3 linked regions of the Elephas maximus indicus genome follow. The protein of the gene in region 2 interacts with the protein of the main gene of each other region in a biochemical or structural test. Links are inferred from orthologs where the notes say so. Each region holds a gene or a part of one and is shown on either strand. Other genes may lie near its edges.

Evidence for each region. The genes of interacting proteins can lie anywhere in the genome.
Region 1: the proteins of NF2 (region 2) and CD44 form a complex in vitro, tested with the Homo sapiens proteins (2 studies listed by BioGRID, with this or other methods). The link is inferred for Elephas maximus indicus from reciprocal best matches to the Homo sapiens genes NF2 and CD44.
Region 3: the proteins of NF2 (region 2) and DCAF1 form a complex in vitro, tested with the Homo sapiens proteins (3 studies listed by BioGRID, with this or other methods). The link is inferred for Elephas maximus indicus from reciprocal best matches to the Homo sapiens genes NF2 and DCAF1.

The regions. Positions count from the first base shown.
Region 1 is NC_064825.1:90,449,532-90,457,547, reverse strand, and holds the start of CD44 (CD44 antigen), read right to left. Parts: upstream 3,001-8,016; 5' UTR 2,824-3,000; coding exon 2,754-2,823; intron 1-2,753. UniProt on the Homo sapiens protein: Cell-surface receptor that plays a role in cell-cell interactions, cell adhesion and migration, helping them to sense and respond to changes in the tissue microenvironment.
Region 2 is NC_064840.1:26,936,876-26,944,265, forward strand, and holds the start of NF2 (merlin), read right to left. Parts: upstream 3,016-7,390; 5' UTR 2,563-3,015; coding exon 2,449-2,562; intron 1-2,448. UniProt on the Homo sapiens protein: Probable regulator of the Hippo/SWH (Sav/Wts/Hpo) signaling pathway, a signaling pathway that plays a pivotal role in tumor suppression by restricting proliferation and promoting apoptosis.
Region 3 is NC_064838.1:55,676,641-55,684,528, forward strand, and holds the start of DCAF1 (DDB1- and CUL4-associated factor 1), read right to left. Parts: upstream 3,001-7,888; 5' UTR 2,809-3,000; intron 2,380-2,808; exon of another isoform or gene 2,073-2,379; intron 1-2,072. UniProt on the Homo sapiens protein: Acts both as a substrate recognition component of E3 ubiquitin-protein ligase complexes and as an atypical serine/threonine-protein kinase, playing key roles in various processes such as cell cycle, telomerase regulation and histone modification.

The DNA.
Region 1 (8,016 bases), on a different chromosome or scaffold from region 2:
AACGCTAACCTCAGCAGTGATGGAAATGTGCCTCCTTGCTTCTTCACCTGGGAAAATACATTCAAAGTTCTAATGTCCAGCAAGACAAGGAGTCTTTAAGGGTCAATGGGAGCAAAAGATTCATACTAGCCTCACTGCCCAGGACTCTCAGCTGCACCCCTCTTTCTCAACACCAAGGGGCGCAATTTCCAGCAATGGCCTCATGCTCACAGAGGGAAGGAGACATGCGCAGGGAGGGCCTATGTCTAACTCCAGGACAGCTCAACCCCTGCCCTCTTCCCAGGGCAACTTTCCTCCCCCCGAATAGGACACCTGGTTCAAGACACCTGCTCTCCAACTGTCAGAGTTTCTGCGTCCAATGTTGCTTAACAACAGTTGGCCACTTCTCCACATTTTACTTTCCAATAAGGAGATTGGACCCTTTATTCCCCCTTAAAGCCAGCCTTGCCCTTTCCAACATTTCCTCATTGTCTTCTATAGCTCACTATTCCCCATGATGGGGCAACAACAGCACCTTTCCTTCCTCCCTCCTCTTTCTCTTTTCCCCTCTACCTGCCTAGCCCCAAGCCCTGGCTTAAAGCATGTCTCCTTGCCAAGTCTCAGTTCCTTCCAAACAACTTCACAAGCACGTGACAGTCAGGGCAGAGGCAGTTATTGCTACTAGCACGTCATTGTGCTTCCAAATGACGCTGCCCAAAGAGACCACGGAAACCCAGGACAGGAGGAGCCTGCTGATCCCTGGGAGAACCTCTAGGGTCAGGCTGGTTCCAAATATTTGGAAGTAGGCCCTTTAGAAATATCATAGAGACAGGGTGAAAGAGTCAGAATCTTCAGAGACAAAGCCCAAGACTTCACTGGTAGTTAACCTGTAAACAAGCTTCCCTGGAGGCCATGGGGAGACCACCAGGGTGGTCGTCTTTGCAGCCAGGCCCAGGACCCTCCCCGCAGTCTCCCCTCTTCTTTCCCATCTTGAACATTCCTCCCTCTCAAGGGCTGAGTGGTGCTCTAGTTCCCTTCTGAAACCTGCTGTAAGGCTTCTAGTCCAATACAACCTCTCCTTCCCCCAAATCCTTTCCAAGTTGTCCTTCTCACACAACCTAACATATTCCAGCTAAGCACAGCCTTTGGAACTCAATGGACCTGAGTTCAAATCCAGACCACTACTTGTGGCTGTGTGAATGCCCACGAGTCACTTAACCTTTCTGAGCCTCGGTTTCCTCCAAGCATTAAAAACTTCTCATCGGGTCATTGTGAGGCCTGCTGTTACCTCTGCTACCATTACATATTTCTGTTTCAGGAAACTGAATCCTGACTCCCCACCTATCTTCAGTCTAAAGTACCCAGGCGAGACTATGTCTTTTACCTTCTTGGTACTCCTAGAACTGGGTTTAATAAATGCTTGCTGAGTAGAATTAGCCATAGGCTGAGCTGTCTCAATGACCCAGCTGGCACTTCTTAAAAGAAAAATTAATTTTGCTAGCGATAAGCAAATCAGCCATATAATTATCTGTACATACACAGACAAAGAAAGGGAACGCTTGCTTCGAGTTCAGCTGGGCTGGGCTACCTCACATGCGCAGCACCTCCCCTCCACACCCCTGAAAGGCACAGCCCCTGTTTGGACGGGACATTGGCAGCCCCAGCTCCAGGGTCACAGATGTCATCCTGAGGTCCAGGCTCCCCTCTGGCCCACTGAGGCTCATATCCCTGGCCTGGGAATGCGAGCCATATTTCTGTTTGGATTTCCCCAAACTGTCTGCCAGTAACAGGAGGCTGCAAGGATTGAATAGCTCCAGGCTTTCAGTCTATGTCTCTCCTACTCACACTCCCTGCCCCAGGCTGGCACCACTATCCAGAACCTCTTTGCGAAGCTAGTTCAAGTTCCCACAAGCACTAGACATGCACTGACTGGAGCTGACTGTAAGAGCTTTGGAGCCCAGGCACAGTCATGAGTGATAGAGACCCAGGACCCTTTTCTGGAAAGCTCATTGCCAGCAGCTCTCACAGGCGTGACTGGGACCACCTTGCCAACAGCCCCTGCTTCTGACCCAGCCCCTAAACTGTCTTTGCCTCAGTCTCTGCCCCCAACTTGCCTCTAACCCAGTCCCTGCCCCTGCCTCAGCCCCTGCCCCACCCAGCCCTTGTCCTGCCTTTGCCTCAATCTCTGCCCCGGCCTACTCCAGCCCCTGCCCTGCCCCAGCCCCTGCCCCAGCCCCTGCCCCAGACCCTGCCTCAGCCCCTGCCTCAGCCCCTACCCCAGCCCCTAGCCCTGCCCCTACCCCTACCCCTGCCCCAGCCCTTGCCCCAGCCCCATCCCTGCCCCTGCCCCTGCCCCAGCCCCTGCCCCTGCCGCTACCCCAGTCCCTGCTCTGCCCCAGCCAGGTCTGGGCTTCCAGCGCCCTTGGGCACAGAAGCCTGTTAGTCCAGACACCGGCTGCGCGTCCAAGACTACAGTTACTTTCTGCCATGTGCTCCGCGCTCTAGAGACCTCACCCAAAACTGCGCGCCGGCAGCCTGCCCGGCCAACTTTCTTCTTTCTTTCCCTTTTCCCTCCAACAAAACTATGCTTCCCACCAACAAATTCGCCAACCAATAGTTTAGCGCAAATTTCAGCCCAGTTTATCTTAACCAAACCCAAGTCGCTCGCCGCCCACTTGACTCAGGTTCCCAGGGCCAACTCTGCCAGTGGGGCTGCTGTGCGTCCCGGGCACTCCTGGCACCCCTTCCCGCAGTCCCACTCAACGGGCACTCACCGATGTGCTGCGCTAGGCTTAGCTGCACGAGGCAGAGTCCCCAGGCTGCGCGCCACCAAAGCTTGTCCATGGTATCCGGGCAAAGGGGAGAGCGAGTGAGCAGAGCTGGAGGGTCCCGGGGCGAAGGGCGGGGGCCGGCGCAGGACAGGGCAAGGAGGGCGGCCGGAACCTGTCAGAGGCTGGGGTCTGGCTGGGCAATGAGGCCGCCTCGCAAATTGGCTGCAGTTTTTATTCGAGGGTTGAAAGAATGACCTAAGAGGGAGGGAGCGAGAGAAGGACACACCCAAGGGGGCTGTGACTAAGCAGCCGGCAAAGGTTTAAAGTCATACCAGCCCTCCTCTGAGCTACCCCCTTGCCCCCGCGGCGTTCTTTACAGAGACTGTCAACCAGGGCTCCTTCGGCCCTGGGGGTCCAGGCCCTCCCAGCGCCCGCCAGCCCGCTTGCCCCCGGGTCACCCTTTCTTCTCCCAGCCAGCTGGATTGGCTGCCTAAGCAAGTAGGATGACTGAGTCCTGAAACCTAGACCGTTAGGTCCAGCCTCCGGCCTCTCTTGCTGTCCACAAAGCTTCATTTGAATTCAGCTGGGGAATGGCTCTTTCTGGGTTTCACAGGCAGCTGGATATCCTGGGAGAGGAGGGAGGGCAGAGGTGAGGTCCTGCACTGGATGGTGCTTCCCTGCCGAGGGCACTGGGTACTGGGTTTCCCTGCCCGGGAAGAGAGATGGGAGGGGCTTGCGATTCTCTCTGGGGGAGGAGGGAGAGCACGTCCCTCTTCCCCTCAAGGAGAAACAAAGTCCACAGCGCTCAGGTGGATTTTTGGTTCTTGCCAGAACTGCCGGAAACCAGCTGCCCAGGGAAAGCTAGAGATGGCCATTCATGGGCTATTTGCCTCCACTAACCCATGTGTTTTATTTAAACCCATGTGTTCACCGTCCAATCCATCCATCCACCCATCCATCCACTCACCCGCACACTCATTCATCCTCCCAAACATCCCTCCATCCACCCATTCATCTATCCACCTACCTTTCATTACAACCTGCCAGCACTTATCCATCCCTCCATCTTACTGTCCACCCACTCACACATCCCTCCATGCTCTCACCCATCCATTTATCCACCCCCACATCCATTCATCATTTCCACATTCTTTCAACTATTCACACATTTATTCAGCCATCTTTCTTCCAATCATTTATCCAGTCACACAACTTTTCATCTATCCATCTATCCAATCACATATTCTTCCACCCACCCTACCAGACATCTTCTCATCCATCCTTTTATCTATTCTTTTTCATGTCTCTGCATAAACTCGCTCTGATCCATCCACCACCCTCTTCTTCATCCATATATCCACATATCTCTTCCTCCATTGTCCTTCTATCATTCACATATCCATTTTTATTTATCTTCCCATCCACCCATCCACTCATCCCTTCTTTTTTGCTCCCATTCATACAAACATTATGCTTTTCTTGCTCCCATTCTATGCAAACATTAATCTACTTTCCCCCATCTAACCTACCCAGTAAATATCAAAGAGAGGAGGGGATTGTCATATTCTTCAGGAGAGACATTTTGAGTCTGAAAACTTATATTTCACATCATAGTTCATTTATATAACAGTTGCCATGGAGTCAATTCCGATTCATGGCAACCCCATGTGTGTCAGAGTAAAACTGTGCTCCATAAGGTTTTCAGAAGTAGATCACCAGGCCTGTCTTCCAAGGTGCCTCTGGGTGAACTAGAACTTCTAAACTTTCAGTTAGCAGCCAAGAGTATTAACTGTTTATAATATACCACGATATAACATTTGGAAATCAAAAGCAGTATTTGTTTTGAATGTGAACTGCTGAAAGTAAAGTTGAATGGGTGCCTTGCCTGGTGAGATACACAAAATATGATAGTGGCATTCAGTGGCTGGGGCATGATGCTGAAGGAGCCATGCCAGAATTTCTGACAGAAGATCAGATTTTGTTATTTATTCAAATAACTTGAGAAGTTGAGAGAAAATGCACCCAGCCATTAACTCATCCATTCACTCATCAAGCATGTACTGAGTACCCAAGGATATCAAGATAAATAAGACCTGGCCCTGTCAGGGATCTCATGCTCATGTAGGGAATCAGACTCACAAGTAAGCTATTACCACATAATATGATATGGGCTGCAAAATACCTGTGTGCAGACTGGTATCAATCCCTGAGAAGGGAGCCCCAATCTCTCCTGGGGAACACCAGAGAGGCTTCATGGTGGAAGTGATATTTGAACCAGGTATAGAAGAGGTAAGAATTCTTCATAGGAACCTACAGGGGCAAGACATTCACAGACAATATTCTGTAGTGATTAACAGTAAGGATTCAGAACCCAGAATGCCTTGGTTCAAACCCTAGCCTGGATGCTTTTGAGTTGTGTGACCTTGGACAAGTCAATTAGCCTTTCTGTGCTTCAATTTCCTTCTGTAAAAAATAGAGTTAATAAAAAAAAAAAAACACGCAAAACCAAATCTTCTGCCGTGGAGTCAATTCCGACTCACAGCAACCCTACAGGACAGAGTAGAACTGCCTCATAGAGTTTCTGAGGAGCACCTGGTGGATTCAAACTGCTGACCTGTTGTTTAGCAGCCATAGCTCTTAATCCCTACTCCATCTGGGGATTAATAATAGTATCTATGAAATAAGATTGTTAGGAAGATTATGAATGAGTCAAAAGTGCTGTATATAATAATCATTCAACAATATAAGGGTTTAAGTCCCTGGGTGGCAAAAGAAATTAATGCTTAACTGCTAACCAAAGTGCTGGAGGTTTGAGTTCACCCAGAGATGCCTTGGAAGAAAGATCTGGCAATCTACTTCTGAAAAATTCGTCATTGAAAATCCTGTGGACCACACTTCTACTCTGACACACAAGGAGTCGCCATGAGTCAGAATCAAATCCATGGCAACTGTTTTATATATATATGTGTGTGTGTGTGCTTGCTATAATTATTAACAGTAAAATTATGTATGAGCATGGAAAGGTGAAAGAACATGGCTTGTTTAGGGAGTGGAGAGCAGTTTTGAATGACTAGAGCATTAGATCAGATGAAGAATTTGGGAGGGAGACAGCAAGACAGGAGGCTAAAGAGGTAGGAGAGGCCAGGTTGTAAGCTATGCCAGAGAGTTTGAACTTGACCATGTAGGAAAGAGGGAGCCAATGCAAGTTTTGAAGGTAGGGAGAGCCTGTATGACTACAGACTGATCTAGTTGCATTTTCAGAGAGAGTTTGGGCTCAGAATCATTGTCTGCTGGGACAACTCCCTATCTACTTGGTAGCTGGCATTCCATGACTCAAGGTGTCACCTATCTGAAATGAAGACAGTGCCTCTGAGCCCCTACCTGAAGAGCAAGCGCTTTGAAAAGTGTTTGCCAATAGCAGAAAAGAGTTGGTCCCATTGCTTGAGACAAACTGGCTCCCAGGTAGAGCTTAAAGCTCTACCCACCTGAGAAACCAGCCCTGGTGGGTTCCAGGGGCAAGTGCAATGGACCACAATTAAAAAAAAAAAAACCTTTGCGAAAGTGCTTTGCAAATTCTAAAGAGGCATGTAAATTTTAGGGATTATAATTAGGATTATTCTCCCAGGGGGGAATATTTAGCTGGCCTGCTTCCCGATAATTTAGTGAGGGACTGAAGCTTTTGCCCCAATGCCACAAATGACTCATTTCAAATAACTGACCTGGTGACTTACTGAGTCAGTGCCAGCCTTTGGGAATTCCTGGATCACCTCTCTGAGCTCCTCTCTCATCCTCTTTCCACTCCAAGTACCTCCACCCCCACCACTGGTCACACAGACTCTCCCCTGCTCTTCTTTAAGCCTCTCAAAAGATTAAAACCCTTAAAGTTATTCATCATATGCTAGATACCTGTTGTGTCGTTGCATCAGATACCTTTCTAAGCCAAATTATGGGATGTGGGAAACTGGAAAAGAGAACTTGACATGATATGGGTTGACATGAGATCACACCGTTTGGAAAGAATCCAGAATGCAGTCAGCAGGCCTTGGACTGAGAAAGTCCCACTTTGAGCTTGGACACCCTCTTCCCCGCTCCCCCCCCCGCCCCGCCCCTTCTCAGCCGGGTGACTTTACTCAGGTCACTGAACCTGTGGGAGTTTCATTTATTCCATCCCCACTATAAGGTTAATAAGGCCTTTCTCCCAGTTTGTTATGAATAGTAAGTGAAAGAAGGCATCAAGACATTTTACTAGGGTGGCTGCCTCATGGTAGGGACTCAGTGACTCAACAATGTGTAAGCTCCAAGAGGACAGGGTCATGTGTGTCTTAGGCAGCAGTCCATTCTCAGCTCTCAGTGCCTGGCATATCCCAGTGCCTGGCATATGTTGGGCACTCAATACATATGCATTATATAAATGCATGAAAGGTCATTGTTCTTTTTCCTCCTGCCACGCTATGCAAGGTTTTTTCAGGAATTACATGAGCTAATAAATGGACTACTTAACAAATGGAAGCACTTAGAGAACGTGGTGATTTCCAGATACAAGCAGCAATATCGTATATCTGGGGTAACTAGTTTGGGAAGACTGCTGAGGAACCAGACTATGGTTCACTCTGGTAAACTTTTTTTTTTTTTTTTCTTTTGCACTGTAGTATTGGGGCCTGAGGACTTCTGACTGGTAATAAGTCTTGCTCCTCTTAAGCAAACCAAAATCAAACCTAAACCAAACGTAAGCTGGAGCGTGTGGATCAAGGCTGGGAGACGTGTGGCTGAATCATGAAATGTGAGGATTATAAATACAGCAGACCATGGACTCTTCTAAAGGGACAATATCCAATTCCTTCAGGGTGCTGCTTCCCAGAAAAGGGGCAATCCAGCAGAGTAAAGAAAAAGTGCCAATCCAGTTAAACTTTAACTCTTAAAAAAAATCATCCTCGGTTCCCACTCGTATGTGAAAGGTTCACATGTAAATGAGCAGTTGTGGAAAAGCTCTCATGAAATAATTATTAGTGAAGTCTAAATAAACTGGTAATTTGGGAAGCAATCTTCAAGGTAAATGATTTTGAATGACTAATCAGTTTCAAGTTAACCAAATGTGATTACAGAGCCAAGCCTTTGGGATTACTAAGGCTCTCAAACTACGTCAAATAAACTAGGTGGTGGGACTGTTGCACTTTGGAAATGCCAAGGGGACAAGGTGTCTCTAGATTCTAGACATTTCCATGTCAGTCACAAAGTGGGTTTTACACACCTTTAGAAGTTAAAATGG
Region 2 (7,390 bases):
GATGTTCAGGGCTCCTAGCATGTCATATATATAATCGTTTTACTTGTTTTTTTGGGTCTTTGTTGTAAGCGGGATCACCAGAAGCGTCTGACTACTCTGCTATCTTGGCTTCGCCTCCCTTTTTTTTTTTTTTTTTAACAATATTGTATGGTGTTTTCCGTGAAGGTTTGGACAGCAGTTTAGGTTCCCATTCAACAATTTCTACACAAGTTGTTCAGCAACATTGGTTACATTTTTCACAATGCATGAACATTCTCATTATGTCTGTTCTGGTTGTCCTGTTTCCACTAATCTAGTTTCCCTGCCCTCCTACATTCTTATCTTTGTTTTAAAGTAATTGCTTACCATTTGGTCTCAAATAGGTGATTTTTAAAAAATCACAGTACTTAAGGGTGATATTATCTTTTGAGCCAATTTGTTATCTAGCTACAAGGTGACCTCAGGGGTTAGTTTTGGTTCAAGGTTTGAAGAGTATATCAGGGCAACAGTCTTAGGGAGTCCTCTGGTGTCAACCAGTCCAGTAGGTCTGGCTTTTTTTTTAGGAATTTGAGGTTCTATTTCACATTTTTTCTCCCATGCTATCAGGGTCCATTTATCATGGCCCTGAGCTCCAACTGTTCATAAGAGCACCTTTAGCCATGAACTTCTCCAAGAGCTTTTGCAAATGAAGTCTGTTTCTTTGGGAAGATATTAGGAGGTATCTGTTCCATGGCCTGTTTCTTCCTCCTGGCAAAATCTCTGAGCCAAGCTCTGGAGCTGTGTGGGTAGGAACAAGGCAAGCTTCTCTCTGAGTGGCACCCCTGATCTAGGAGCTGAGCACTTGGGGAGGGGGGGCAGTAGCTTGGGGTCTTCTTGGTTTGTCTCTCCTGGTGTGGAACCATAGCTTCGCAAGCCAAGGCACGAGGAGAGTTGGCACCCCAGTGTTCTCAGTTCACCATATCCAAGGTAGAGCCTCCATCCATGAGTAGGGCTGGGGAGAAGAAGAGAGCCCCCACCTTTTGTCTGCCCCAGCCCACAGGTAACAGGTAACTTGGTGCAAGATGATAAACATGCAAGTCCTGCTCTTCCTGGGAAGAAAGTCCCCTGGCTGGAAGCTGAGGGGAGAGCGAGCCCTGTGTTCTTGATTGCAGCAGTGTGGATTGGAGCTTCCACCTCCCTGAGCTGAAGGGCTGAGGGAGGGAGAGGTCTTGATTTAAATATCACAGACTTTCTTTTTTTTTTTTTTTACCAATTTTCATGGATTTTCTTGAGTAGATGTTTCCTCATTTCCTGTTTCCCCTTAGGACCATTTCAAGAAGTTTTCAATGGTGGTAACTGTTGTTTTTATAATTTTCACCAGTTTCAGTAGGAGCAGGTAAGTAGAACTCCTCATGCTGTCACGCCATTAGGGACCCTGTGTAAGGCTGATTCTGCATTATAACAGTAGGGTTGAAGAACTGAGTAGTGGCAATAAGACTCTCCATGGCCTGCAAAGCCAATAATATTTACTGTCTGACCCTTTACAGAAAAAGATTGCCAACCCCTAACTTAGGTCACTGCTGCTGATACTGCTGGTCCACGGACCACACTTTTGAGTAGCAAGAATTTAAATTACTTGAGAAGGAGTACTGAATGGGTTAAGAGCTTGGTTCAAAACCTCACTTTGCCATCTACTAGATATAAAGTTTTTGAGAAAGGGAATGATAATAATGGTATCTACCTCACTGGGCTGTTGTAAGGATTAAATGTAGGACTGTCTGGCACTTATTAAGTATTCAACAAATGACAGCTATCATCAAGGTATAAGACAGCATGTCTTTTCTTAAAGTCTTTTCCAGAAAAATTTAAGCTTCAGAAACAGGAAACAAGTATAAACTTTCAATATACAAGACGCTGCTTTTAATACCCGGGGTGCATAACAATATTACCTAATAAAGTTAAAAACTCACCCCCAAAAAACAAACAAACATTGCCATCAAGTCTATTCAGACTCATAGCAACTCTATAGGGCAGAGTAGAACCGCCCCATAGAGTTTCCAAGGAACACTTGGTGATTTCGAACTGCCGATCTTTTCCTTATCAGACGTAGCTCTTAACCACTACGCCACCACCCAGCCAGAACTTAAGCCTGACACTGAAAACGAGAATTCTCTACCATGGACGCCCGCAACCCCTTCCAGTAACAATGAATGAAAATCTTCAGGAAGTGCTTCCAAACCCAAAAGCCCTATGAAGAAAAGTAGCAATTATCTTCAACATGAGGATTTGGGCCTAGACGACCCCTTCCATTTCCACCCGTCTCTTATCTATACCCAGATGATGATATAAGGAGAATCCCTCAAGCTTCCACTTCGACTGACCCCACGGCGGGGGCGCCCAGGTCAGTGCCGGATCCGGGACAGGGCCGGGTAAACAGGGATTCGGTCGGGCTGCCCCTCGCCGCGGCCCGTCGAGGTTGCCGGCGGTTACCTCGCAATTGAACTCCATCTCGGCGTCCATGGTGACAATCCGCACGGTGAACGTCTTGGGCTGCTTCCTCTTGAGAGAGCTGAAGCTCATGCGGGAAGCGATGGCCCCGGCCATGGTGCGGGGTTCGGGCCCGGGACCTCTGTGCCCCCGCGGCCTGCGCTCTGGACCGGTTAACCCCCCTGGAGGAGCCGCACAGGCCTCAAGGCCACCATGGTGGCCGGCCGGCCGGTCCGGGAGCGGGTTGGGCGGCGCGGGGCCCCTACGGCCCGCATGGGCCGCAAGGACCCTGCCCAGAAGCGAAAAGGGGCGTCGGGGGCGGGCCCTGCTGGCCACGGGGAGGGTACGCGAGCCGGGACCGACGGGGCGGACGCGGCCCGGCACTGGAGGGAGTCGGGCTGGGGACGCCGGGGAAGAGGGCGGCTAAGACGACAGCGGCCCACGGGGGTCGCGGAGACGCGCTACAGCTGGGCGCGCACACGCGCGCGTGCCTCTCACCCTTCCCGCTCCGCGCGCCCCCGGCAAGCGTCCCCTCCCTGCTGCGCCCGACCGACTCCCGCCCCGCCTCCAGGCCCCTCAGACGACTACACACGGCGCAACGCAACCCGGCGGCTGCCTCCCAGAAGCCGGGGTTGGCTGACAACTCCAAGGGAGGCGGGGATTTTCTGTTCCGTCCCGCCTGCTTCTGATTAGCTCCACCAATTGAAAGTTCCGCTCTAGCTGTAGGCGGGAGCTTGGGCTTGGCGTTGAATAGCTGTAGCAGCAGTCACTCCGAATGCTTTTGTTCGTGAGTGTACGCCTACTCTAGCAAGACTGGTTGAGGCGGCGCAGCCTGGCGCGCCTCTCCCGGGAATCCACGTCCGGGCGTGTTCCTGAGCGCACGAGTTGGGTTCCTTCCTAGTCCAGCTAGGAACTGCATTTTTGACAGAGCACGCCCTGCGTATGGCGCCTCAGAAGGTGTATTTTAGACGCCAGGCGGATGTTCCTTTTTGGCTCTCAATTAACTACATTCAATGACCTCTGTGTTTCACGACTTTTAAAACACTTGTGGAGGCCTGTTTGGTTGCTGACATTGTCCCGCCGGATTCCTCAGCCTCGCATTAGAAGTGATACTAATTACTGTCAAAGAGAGATTATAATTGCACCTACCTCATGGGGTTGTTCAGGAGTTTAAGCGAGTTAATACACATAAAGCTTTAAAACGGTGGCCGGCACATACTAGGTTGGATCCAATGAAATTGTTGCTTTGGTAGATCAAAAAAGCTCGAAAATTTTCATTTTTCATTTTGTACTTTATGATTTTCATTTTTTAACCATATATGCTTCCTATTTATGTTTTAATATCATCAAGGATTATGCTGGGGGGAGGGAATTGAAACGAATCTACTCTCAACCCAGAAAACTTCTCCACAAAAACGACAGAAAGAAAAGTTTGATTATTGAATAAGCATTAAACCAGAATGTGATGCATCACAGGGAATCCACTACAGAGATTGCAAGAACAGAAAGAAACCTTATCCTTTATATAAAACAAAACAAAAATCCGTTGCTGTCCAGTCGATTCCGACTGTAGCGAGCCTACAGGACAGAGTAGAACTTCCCCATAGGATTTCCAAGGAGTGGCTGGTGGATTCCAACTGCGAAACTTTTGATTAGCAGCCGACTTCTTGACCACTGTGGCCACCAAAGCTCCTATCTTTTACATAGCTGAGGGGATAGAACTCAGTACAACCAAGTTTAAGACAAAATTGCTAACTTTCCAGTATCTATGTCAGGAGACCTAAAGTTATGCTCATCTTCCAGGAAAGTGGGTGGTAGGGATGGGAAATTTTGTGTGTGTGTGTGTGTGTGAATGTACACAACAAAACACCAATTTAACAGTTTCTACATGTGCAATTTAGTGACATTAATTACTTTTTAGTTGTGCAACCATTCTCACCCTCCTTTTCTGAGTTGTCCCTCTCTCATTAACATAAACCCACTGCCCCCTAAGGCTCCTGTCTAATTTTTCAAGTTGCTGTTGTCAACTTGATCCCATATAGATACCTCTTAAAAGAGCATAATGCTCAAGGCAGACGTTTTATACTAGTTAAGATAAACTATTGTTTTAAGATGTCTTCGGGGGATGTTTTTGGTTTAAGGTCTAAGGTTTCTTGATGATTACGTTTCAAATCAAATGGCTCTGAGACCACTGAGGAAACATCCTTGACTTATATACTTTTCAGAAAGTCAAAGGAAGATTCTGCCATTAAAAGAACTGAAACCTGTTATTTTCAATTTGTATTTTTCCTTACATTTATAATGGATGTGTGTGTGGGGTTGAATTATACCTGTGTTTAAAAATATAGGGTTGCTATTTGTTGGGATCGACTTGAAGGCAACAGGTTTGGTTTGGTTTTTTTTTTTTTTTATTTTTTGAAAAGGGCCCTCATCTATGATACATCTTTTCGTCCTGTCTAACCCAGAGGAAAGGAGAAGGAAGAAAACCAAGGACACAGGAAAATATTATCCTTAAGGACTAAAGGACCGTGTAAACCAGAGACTCAACCAACCTAAGACCTGAAGAACTAGATGGTGCCCAGCTACCCCCAACGTCCACCCTGACAGGGATCACAACAAGGAGTACCAAACAAAGCAGGAGAAAAATGTAAAACAGTATTCAAATTCACATAAAAAGACCAAACTTACTGGTCTGACGGAGACTGGAGGAACCCCTGAAACTATGGCCCCCGGAAGCTCTGTTAACCCAGAGCTGAAACCATTCCTGAAGCCCACTTTTCAGACAAAGATTACACATACACAAGAATAACACACATGAGGAACTGGGTTTCTTAATTCAATTAAGTATAGGAGACCAAATGGGCAGCTCCTGTTCAAAAGCAGGACGAGAAGGCAGGAAGGGACAGGAACTGGATGAATGGACACAGGGAACCTGGGGAGGAAAGGAAGCACATGCTGTCACATTGTGGGGATTGCAACCAATGTCACAAAAAAAAAAATGTATAAATTTTTGAATGAGAAATTAACTTGAGCTGTAAATTTTCACCTAAAGCACAACAAAATAAATAAATAAAGGGGGCCCTGGTGGTGCTGTGGTTAAGAGCTCAGCTGCCAACCAAAAAGTCAGCAGTTTAAATCCACCAGCCACTCCTTGGAAACCCTATGGGGCAGTTCTACTCAGTCCTATAGGGCTGCTATGAGTAAGAATCGACTCCACAGCACTGGGTTTGGTTTGGCTTTGGTATTTAAAAAAATAATAATTTTTTTTGTTGCTGTTGTTGTAAATATACCAAACCAAAACCAAACCCAGTGCCACTGAGTCGTTTCAGACTCATAGCGACCTTATCAGTAGAACTGACCCCGATAGAGTTTCCAAGGAGCGCCTGGTGGATTCAAACTGCCAACCCTTTGGTTAGCAGCCATAGCTCTTAACCACTACGCCACCAGGGTTTCCTACATATAACAATAAATTTTAAGATAATTTCTAATCGTCAAAATTGATTTTATTTTTAAATTATTTTAATTGTTGAATTGTTGTTGTTGTAGTTATGTGCCGGAGAGTTGATTCCAACTCACAGTGGCCCCATGTGACAGGGTAGATCTGCCCCATAGGAGTTTTTTTCTTTCTTTTTTTAATGTATTTTAGATGAGGGTTTACAGAGCAAATTGGTTTCTCATTAAACAATTAATACACATATTATTTTGGGCGAGTGTGCCTATTTAGTCTCGTTTTGTTTTATGGACCTGTCTAATCTTTGGCTGGAGGATGAATCTCAGAAGTGCCATCACTACTGAGGTAAAAAGGAGTCCAGGGGCCATACTGTCTGAGTTCTCCAGTCTCTGTCAGACTAGTAAGTCTGATTTGTTTGTTTGTTTGTAAATTTAGAATTCTGTTCTACATTTTTCTCCAGCTCTGTCCAGGACCCTCTATTTTGATCCTTGTCAGAGCAGTCAGTGGTGGTGGCCAGGCACCATCTAGTTGTGCTGGACTCAGTTGCCCCATAGGGTTTTCATAGCCAGGTCTTTCTCCTGTGGAGTCGCTGTGTAGGTTTGAACCATCGACCTTTGGGTTAGCAGCCAAGCACCCAACTGTTGTGCCACAAAACAAAACAAAAAAAACCTGTTGCTATAGAGTCAATTCTGACTCATAGTGACCCTATGGAGCAGAGTACAACTGCCACATAGGATTTCGAGGAGCAGCTGGTGGATTTGAACTGCCAACCTTTTCGTTAGCAGCTGAGCTCTTAACCACAGTGCCACCAAAACCAAACCAAGCCCATTGCCATCAAGTCGATTCTGACCAGGGCTCTTTAATTGTCCAGTAGAGAAGATTTAATCACACATAAGTGTTAACCATCATCAGCATTACCCCCACTCTGCAGATGAAGAAGATGAGACTTTTAGCATGATAAAGTCACTTGCTCACCCAGATGCTGTTGTTACATGCCATAGAGTCAGTTCTGACTCATAGCAACCGTACGTACAACAGAATGAAACATTGCCTGGTCCTGCACCATCTTCACAATCATTACTATGTTTGAGCCCATCGTTGTGGGCATGTGTCAGTGCATTTCATTGAGGGTGTTCATCTTTTTTACTGACCCTGTTTCAAGCATGATATCCTTCTCCAGGGACTGGTTCCTCCTGATAACATGTCCAAAGTACGTGAGACAAAGTTTTACCATCCTCGCTTCTAAAGAGCGTTCTAGTTGTAGTTCTTCCAAGACAGATTTGTTCATTCTTCTGGCAGTTCATGGTATATTCAATATTCTTCTCCAACACCATAATTCAAAGGCATCAATTCTTCAGTCTTCCTTATTCATTGTCCAGGTTTCCCAAGCATATGAGACAACTGAAAATACCCTGACTTGGGTCAGGCGCACCTTAGTACCACCTCAAGGTGACATCTTTGCTTTTTAACACCTGAAAGAGATCTTTTGGAGCA
Region 3 (7,888 bases), on a different chromosome or scaffold from region 2:
TAAGGGGGCAGGAAAACTAAATAAACAGAAAGGGAACAACCAGAAGGAAAAGAGAATGTTCACACATTGTCAAGAACATAAGCAATGTTACTGAACAACTTGTGCAAAAACTGTTGAATGGGAACCTAAATTGCTGTGTAAACCTTCACTGAAAACACATTTAAAAAAAAAAAATACAGTACATAAATAAAAATCTGGATGGGTAGAAATGTATTCATTTTACTATTCTTTAACTTTCCTGTATGTTTGAAATTTTTCTCAGTAAAAAGTTGGAAAAAACTAAGCAGCATTTTCTTTCCTGAATTGGATCAACTCTCAAACACATGTCAAGAGAGGAAAGCAAGGGGCAGAACTCTATAAACATATTTGTTGTTAGTTGCCATCGAGTCAATTCGGACTCACGGCAACCCCATGTACGCAGAGTAGAACTGCTCCGTAAGGTTTTCAAGGCTGTGACCTTTGGAAGCGCATTACCAGGCCTGCCTTCTGAGGTGCCTCTGGTTGGATTTGAACGGCCAACCTTTCAGCTAACACTGTACCTGAGTGCTTAATCACATGCGCTACCCATGGATGCTATCATTGTGAATGAGAAAGGTGGGTGTGTGTACAAGTGTATATCTACATCTACCTACCTGTCTCTCTTCCTTCTAGGATAAAAGGCCCCTGGAAGAATAAGGAAACTAATTGTATCTATTACTCTTCTGGCAGGTAACTTTCTGGGTGATAAAGGTAGGAGAGAGATTTTTTCACTTTTTACTCCAGCTCTACCTTTTTCCCACTATAACCTTCAGTAACTTTTTAATATAACCATAAAATCTGTTCTTAGTTCTAATACACAATAGCAAATGCCTATTCTGCAGAAACTATCCCAAAGCCAAAAATAAAGTCCATATTAAAGACAAAACCAAAAAAACTAAATCCACTGTCATGGAGTCACAGCAACCATATAGGACAGAGTAGAACTGCCCACGGGGTTTTCCAAGGCTATAAATCATTATGGACACAGACTGCCACATTTTCTCCCACAGAGCAGCTGATGAAGTGGTGGTGGGTTGCAACCTCCAACCTTTTGGTTGGCAACCAAGCGCTTTAACCACTGTCCACTAGGCTCCTCATGTTAAAGACAGGTCCCTTAAAACGTTACAATACTGAAACAACCATCTGTGGGGGAGGGGGGGAATCCAAGTTTAGAGCTTCAAGTAAAAATTTACGGAATAATTACTATTAAAATACGAGAACATATAACCTATTTAGTACCGTCCATGACCATCTCCTTTACAAAAACAACACAAGAAAATTGGCAATAAACCAACTCCAACCACTTCAAATTAACGAGTGGTTCATTCTACCAGATTCCTCCCCTATTTAAACAGCTATACAACAGGTAGAACAGTAAAACACTATTCAGCAACTACCCAAGAGATGTTGAGCGTAAGATGACTCCGTTAAACTCCCACCAATTCTGTGTCTATTATCTCTTTTCTTGTCGTGTGCCGTCGAGTCAGACTCACAGAGACCCTATAGAACACAGCAGAACTGGCCCATAGGGTTTCCTAGGCTGTAATCTTCACGGGAGCTGACTCTCTGCTCTTGAGGAGCCCCTGGTGGCTGGTGGGTTCGAACTTCCGACCTTCAATTTGCAGCACAGAGCTTAATTACTGTGCAACCAGGACTCCTTATTATCTCAACATCCAAAAATTTATCGCCACTCGAAAGTGGGTAATGAATACTGCTACGTACAAAGCCAAATCTTGACAACATCAAGTAGAAAAATATCAAATCAATTTCTAATTAAAGAGTCTAAATATACACGCTTCACAAACCTTAAAGGTAAACGCCTGCAAATGACAGGGTGACGGCAGTGGTTTTTACTACCAATGAACCCTTCAACCTGTACATTAAAGAAGCGTTTAGAACAGGAAGATGCTGCTACATGAATTAATAATTAAAACATGTAGGCTAATTAAAATGTTTCAATGAAAAGATAAAGTACGAAAGACTGAGACCAACACAAAGCAGACAAAGACGAGCCATTTGGGGCTCAAAAAGTACTACAAACACTCCAAACCTACTTTCTCAACAAATGGGAACCCAGAGCGCTACTACCGCAGTAAGAGGAAGCGAGACGGAGAGCGTTTAGAAAGAAAAGAGCTAAGCGAACACCTCTGACACCCTGTCGAAAACTGTAAACCCGGAAACAGGCTGCCGGAAAGTCGGCCCCACGCTGAGGGACCCGCACACCTCTCCAGGCCCCTCCCCTCCACCGCTGGAGTGAGAGGAATGCCCGGAAAGCCCCGCCCCCCGCCCCGTCCGAGAGCAGGGCGGGCGGAAGGGGAGGTGGCACGAGGCCGAGGGAGGGAGAGACCGCCCAGGTGACTGGGACTGGAGGCGGAGACACCGTCCGGGAAGGGGGCCGCCGTACGGCAGGGGAGATGGAGACCCCCGGCCCGTACGGAACGAAGGCTGGGAAGACTGAGAAAAAAGGTGATGAAGGGAATGAGCGGCGCCCCTTCTCCAGGTAGGGGCGGGCATGCCCCTGCCCCCTATTCCGGGCGGAAAAGTACTCTCGGGAAGCTTCTTTTGGGGACTAGAGGAAGACTATGGAGGCCCCGCCCCCGGGTCAAGAATCAAGAGGAGAAAAAGGGACTGTCAAGCCCTGGGCCCAGCCTCTCCGCCGGCCCGCCCCCTCCCCGCCCGCGGCCCAGGCAGGTGCCGCCCCTCCCCCAGCCCGGCGCCCACTCTCCCGCCCGCGCGTCCTGTCTCTCCGCCCCTCTCTGGGAGAGCCGTATCCCTCCCTTCCTCACTTACCTTCCCGGGCGGCTCCGCCGCTCCCGCCTGACCCCGCCAGCGGCCACAGTTCACACACGCACCGCCTCAAGTCCCGCACTCACACTCTCCCTCACTCACACACACACACACACACACACACACACACACACACAGACACACACAGCGCGACCACGGCTCCTGAGCGGCCCACATATTATACGTCACTCGCTGGCTACGTACCCCGCGCGCGCGCCGAGTTGGCGCCAGGCTCGCGGATAAGGGGCGGGAGAACGCTAACGCAACGCAAGCAGAGGAAAATCGGCGGGTCCCGAGGCCGCCTGGGAAATGTAGTTCTGCTTTTAGGGGCGCGGCCCACCCATCCTGATTGACGCACAGTGACATTGCTTTCTGGGATTTGTAGTTTTTACTGTAGGCAGGAACTGCTGTGGACTCATTGGCGTCTGGGGAAGGCGGAAGTGAAGTGAAGGACCGTCCGGCAAGGCAAGGCTGTGACAGCTTGATACTTTCGCAGTTCTCAGCACCTTATGTACGGTAAAACCAAAACTAAACCCATCGCTGTCGATCGATTCCCGCTCATAACGACCCTATAGGGCAGAGTAGAACTGCTCCATAGGGTTTCCAAGGAGCGGCTGGTGGATTCGAACTGCTGACCTTTTGGTTAGCAGCCACAGCCCTTAACCACTACGCCACCAGGGTTTCCTTGTGTACGGTTCAGTAATTACGTGGTGATGGGTCAATGGTCAACCCCAGAACTTCATGTAAATTCCAGTCACCGAAGGAGCTCAGAGACCTGGTAGAACATCCCCTTTTACAGATGGAGAAACTGAGGCTCAGGGTGCTGAACTAGGTCTCGTGAGTCATGGTCTCAGAGTTCCTTTGACTACAAAGCACAAACGACCCCCAGTATTTGGGGATGCTGGCATTCGACCAAAGGTCATTCAGTAGTATCAAAATTTGAAGGAGTCTTGGCGGCCCAGTGGTTAAGAGTGCCGCTGCTAAGCAAAAGTCGGCAGTTGGAACCCACCAGCTGCTCCCCGGCAGAACGATGTGGCAGTCTGCTTCGGTAAAGATTTACAGGCTTGGAAACCCTATGAGGCAGTTTTACTCTGTCCTGTAAGTTCGTTATGAATCAAAATCGACTCAAGAACCATGGGTTGGGTTGGATTTTATCAAAATTTGCCTATCAAAATTTAAGTCGCAGGTACCCCATGACCCCACTGTTCTGCTTCTGAAACGCCACCCTATAGAAACATGTGCTGTTTAAAATAGACAAGGTACTACTGACTGGAGGGATGTCCAAAACCTAGTGTAAGTAAACAAAGCAAGGTGGATAATTCCTCATGATTTCATATATATGTTTTATAAAAAATCCTAAACGTGTAATGTAGACTTTTGTATATAAGTGTATAGGAAAGGGATTAAGAAGGACATGTGCCAAAATGTTTAACGGTGATTATCCCTAGGGATAGTGCAGTGCAAAGACCGCTTTAGCGTGGCCTTCCTCACCATGGTCCTATAACTCCCACCCAAGTGATTGGTTGGGACTGTGCAAATAAGGTAATTGTGGCTGACCAAGGGGATTGATCGGCTTTGCCATCCCGCTAGGCTTAAAATGAGCCATCCCACAGGTGGGAAGAGAGGCTCTCACCACCACCAAGGAAGAAGAACCAGGAGCGGAGCGCGTCCTTTGGACCCAGGACCTCTGCACTGAGAAACTTGTAGAACCAGGTGACCAAGAAAGATAAAGAGCTATAACGCTGAAGATGGTAAGAAGTGGTGGCAGAGAAAAGGCAGCAGGAGACGGTGCAGTGGACTTTCCAGCCCACGGATGGAGAAAGCTGAGCACCTTCAGGCAGGAGGCTTGTTGGAAGAGTAGGGTGCCTCCAGACACTTGGTAGAGCTAGGTTTGCTGATCCACAGAGCTAGAGCTAAGCACCTACCCATGGAGGCCTCTTGGAGGAGTGGGGTGCCTCAGGGCACTTAACAGCAGAGCTAAAAGATCTTTTTAACACTTGCCCAAGCAGGAAAGAGGTGAGGGAACCAGAGAGAGGCATGCCTGGGAGCATGGCTGAGAAGAGGCTGTCTTGATGGAAGAACTATATCCTGAGCGTTCCTGGACCTGAATTGTAACCTGTTGCTTCCCTAATAAACCTCATAATCGTGAGTATCGTCTGTGCGTTCTGTATGGCCATTACAATGAATTATTGCATCCAGCAGAGAAGTAGAGAATGCTGTCAGAGGTAAAGACGGCAGAGAGAGGAAGCATGCCTGACCCTGCCTCGTAGGAAATCAGCCTTGGGCTGTTGATCATGATACTCCTTTGACCTTGTGAAGTTAGAGGAGGTGCCATGGCCGTGCCATTTTTACAGATGGGAAAAAGTGAAGGGGACTTGTGTATTTTACTACATGTACTTCTGTATTGTTTGTCCTTTTAATGCAAGAAATTTTTTATGTATCCTTTGTAATGTCTTTAAAAAAATTCCACCTGTCCTTAAAGGCTTCATTCAGTAGCTATTTTCTTCCTTTATTTTCTCCTCCAATCTGAGATGGCTGCTCACTCCCCCAACGTCTCCTGTGTTTTATATTCTACTCTGTGTGTCAGTATAGCCTCTGTCCCATTTCCCCCCATCATACCTAGAACATACCAGGATCTAAGAAAATATTTCTTGCAAGAATAAATACCAGAAATTACAGCACTCATTAAACAGAAGGCACTGTTTCGTTTGTTTGTTTGCTCTTTATCTTTCTGTTCAAGACGTCAATAAATATGTATTCCCAGGTTTATATGTGAGGCAGAGAAAAGGAAAAATCAGAAGCCGAGGACTTTTGATTGGACTGACCTCAGAGGCCATCTCATTCAATTCTTTCATTTTGCAGTTGAGAAAAATGAGGCCCAGAGAGGGTGAGTGGCTTGCCTAAACATTGCAAAACAAATTTAACAGTAGAACCAGAATGAATCCTGACTCTCAATCAAAGATCCCTCTTTGGGGATATGAAAGATAAACATAACTCCTTAGTTGAGTGGTTTCTCCACCTGACAAAATCCTGTCCAGCCTGAAGGCCCAACACAACTCATTATCTCTCTGGGAGTCCTGAGCAAGTTCCTGGTCTAACCATGCATTTCTAAATGGAGAAAAGGAGACACAGTGAGCCTGCTGCCATGCTCAGGTCCCATAACTAGCCAGGGCCTGGATGTTCAGCCTGTGATTGCATTCCCCACTGTCTTAGTTATCTAGTGCTGCTATAACAGAAATACCACAGGTGGATAGCTTGAAAAAACAGATTTATTCTCTCACAGTCTAGGAAGCTAGAAGTCAAATTGAGGGTGCCAGCTCCACGGAAAGACTTTCTCTTTCTGTCAGCCCTGGGTGAAGCTCTTGGTCATCAATCTTCCCCTAGATCTAGGAGTTTGTCAGCATGGGTCCAAAGGTTGAACTCTGCTCCCAGGTCTTCTTTCTTGGTGGTAGGAGGTCTTTCTCCTCTCTGCTGGCTTCTTATATCTCAAAAGAGACTGACTCAAGGTACAACCTAATACTATAGACTTTGTCCTGCCTCATTAACGTAATTGTCTCTAATCCTGCTTCATTAACATCATAGAGCTTAGGATTTATAATACAAAGCATAATTACATCCGACCATAAAGTTGGAGACAACCACATAATACCAGGAATCAGGGCCCAGCCAAATTGATGTGAATTTTTGGGGAACACAATTCAATCCATAACGTTCCACCCTTTGGCCCCCTAAAATTCATGTCCTTGCCACATGTGAAAGACATTCACCCCATATTATCCCAAAAATCTTCTGCAAAATTCCCCTTCATCTGTGAAATTTAGAATACAAGTTACCTGCTTCTAAAGCTCAGTGGAACAGGCACAAGGTAGACATTTCCATTACAAATGGGATAAATTGGAAGGAAGGGATAACAGGGAACAATCAAGTCCAAAACTCATCAGAACACATTACATTAGCTCTCAAGACTTGAAAATAATCCATTCCCTGGGACAATTTAGGCAATGACCCTGCCCTCCAAACTCTGGGTGTTGGCCACACTTTCTGGATTCTGGGTGGAGGCTCCTGAGCCCTGGGCTTCAACTCTGCTTTTCAGCCCCACTGGGACGGCAACTCTGCTCTCTTGGATTTTGGCGGCCCCATTCTCCTAGTCCATCCGAGTGGCGACCCTGCCCCCTCAGACCCAGCGGTCCCCATTCTTCTGTCCCTTGGGCATGGCAGCCCCATCCCCTCAGCTTTGGACAGTGGATCCACCCCATCCCCCAGCACAGAGGAGCAGCAGCCTCACTCTCCGGAACTGAACTGGTGAAGATCTGACTCTCTGAAACCTAGGAGGCTGTGGCCCCACCCTTTGAGACTGAAGCAGCTCTGCTTCCTGTCCTCCTTGTCTCTTCAGCTTCTTTCTCCTGGTTCCTTGTCCTCTCAGCACTTTGGGCCTCTTGGGCCAGCCTGTCTTCTGCCCTGCTTGGGCAAGTGCTACAGAGCTCTTTAGTTCCACCAATAAGTGCCTCAAGACACCCTACTCCACCAGTAAGCCTAAGCCCAAAGGCACTCAGCTCACCCGCTCCGTGTGTCAGAAAGCCTACCTCCTCCAACAAGTGCCCAGAGGTGCCGTACTCTGCCAGGAAATCTCTTACCCAAAAGCTCTCAGCTTTCTTGCTTCTTGGGTCAGCTCACACGCCGTCTCACACCGGTTTCCTAGTTCTGCTGTGGCTGTTTCTCTGCTACTGCTTCTCACCATCTGTGCCATCTCCAGTGTTACAGCTTTCCTCTCTTCCTTCTGAGCTCTCACCCTAGTTGTCTGACATCCATAATTTCACCAACAGTCAACCTAGGCTTTTGCTATTAGGCACTTTAAAACTCTTCCAGCCTCTACCCATTCACAGTTTCAAAACTGCTTCCACACTTCAGCCATCTGTTAGAGCAGCACCCCACTCCCAGGGCCAAATTCTGTCTAGTTACCTGGTGCTGCTATAACAGAAATACAAGTGGATAGTTTTAACAAATAGATTTGTTCTCTCACAGCTTAGGAGGCTAGAAGTCCCAATTCAGGGCATCAGCTCCAGGGAAAGCCTCTCTCTCTGTT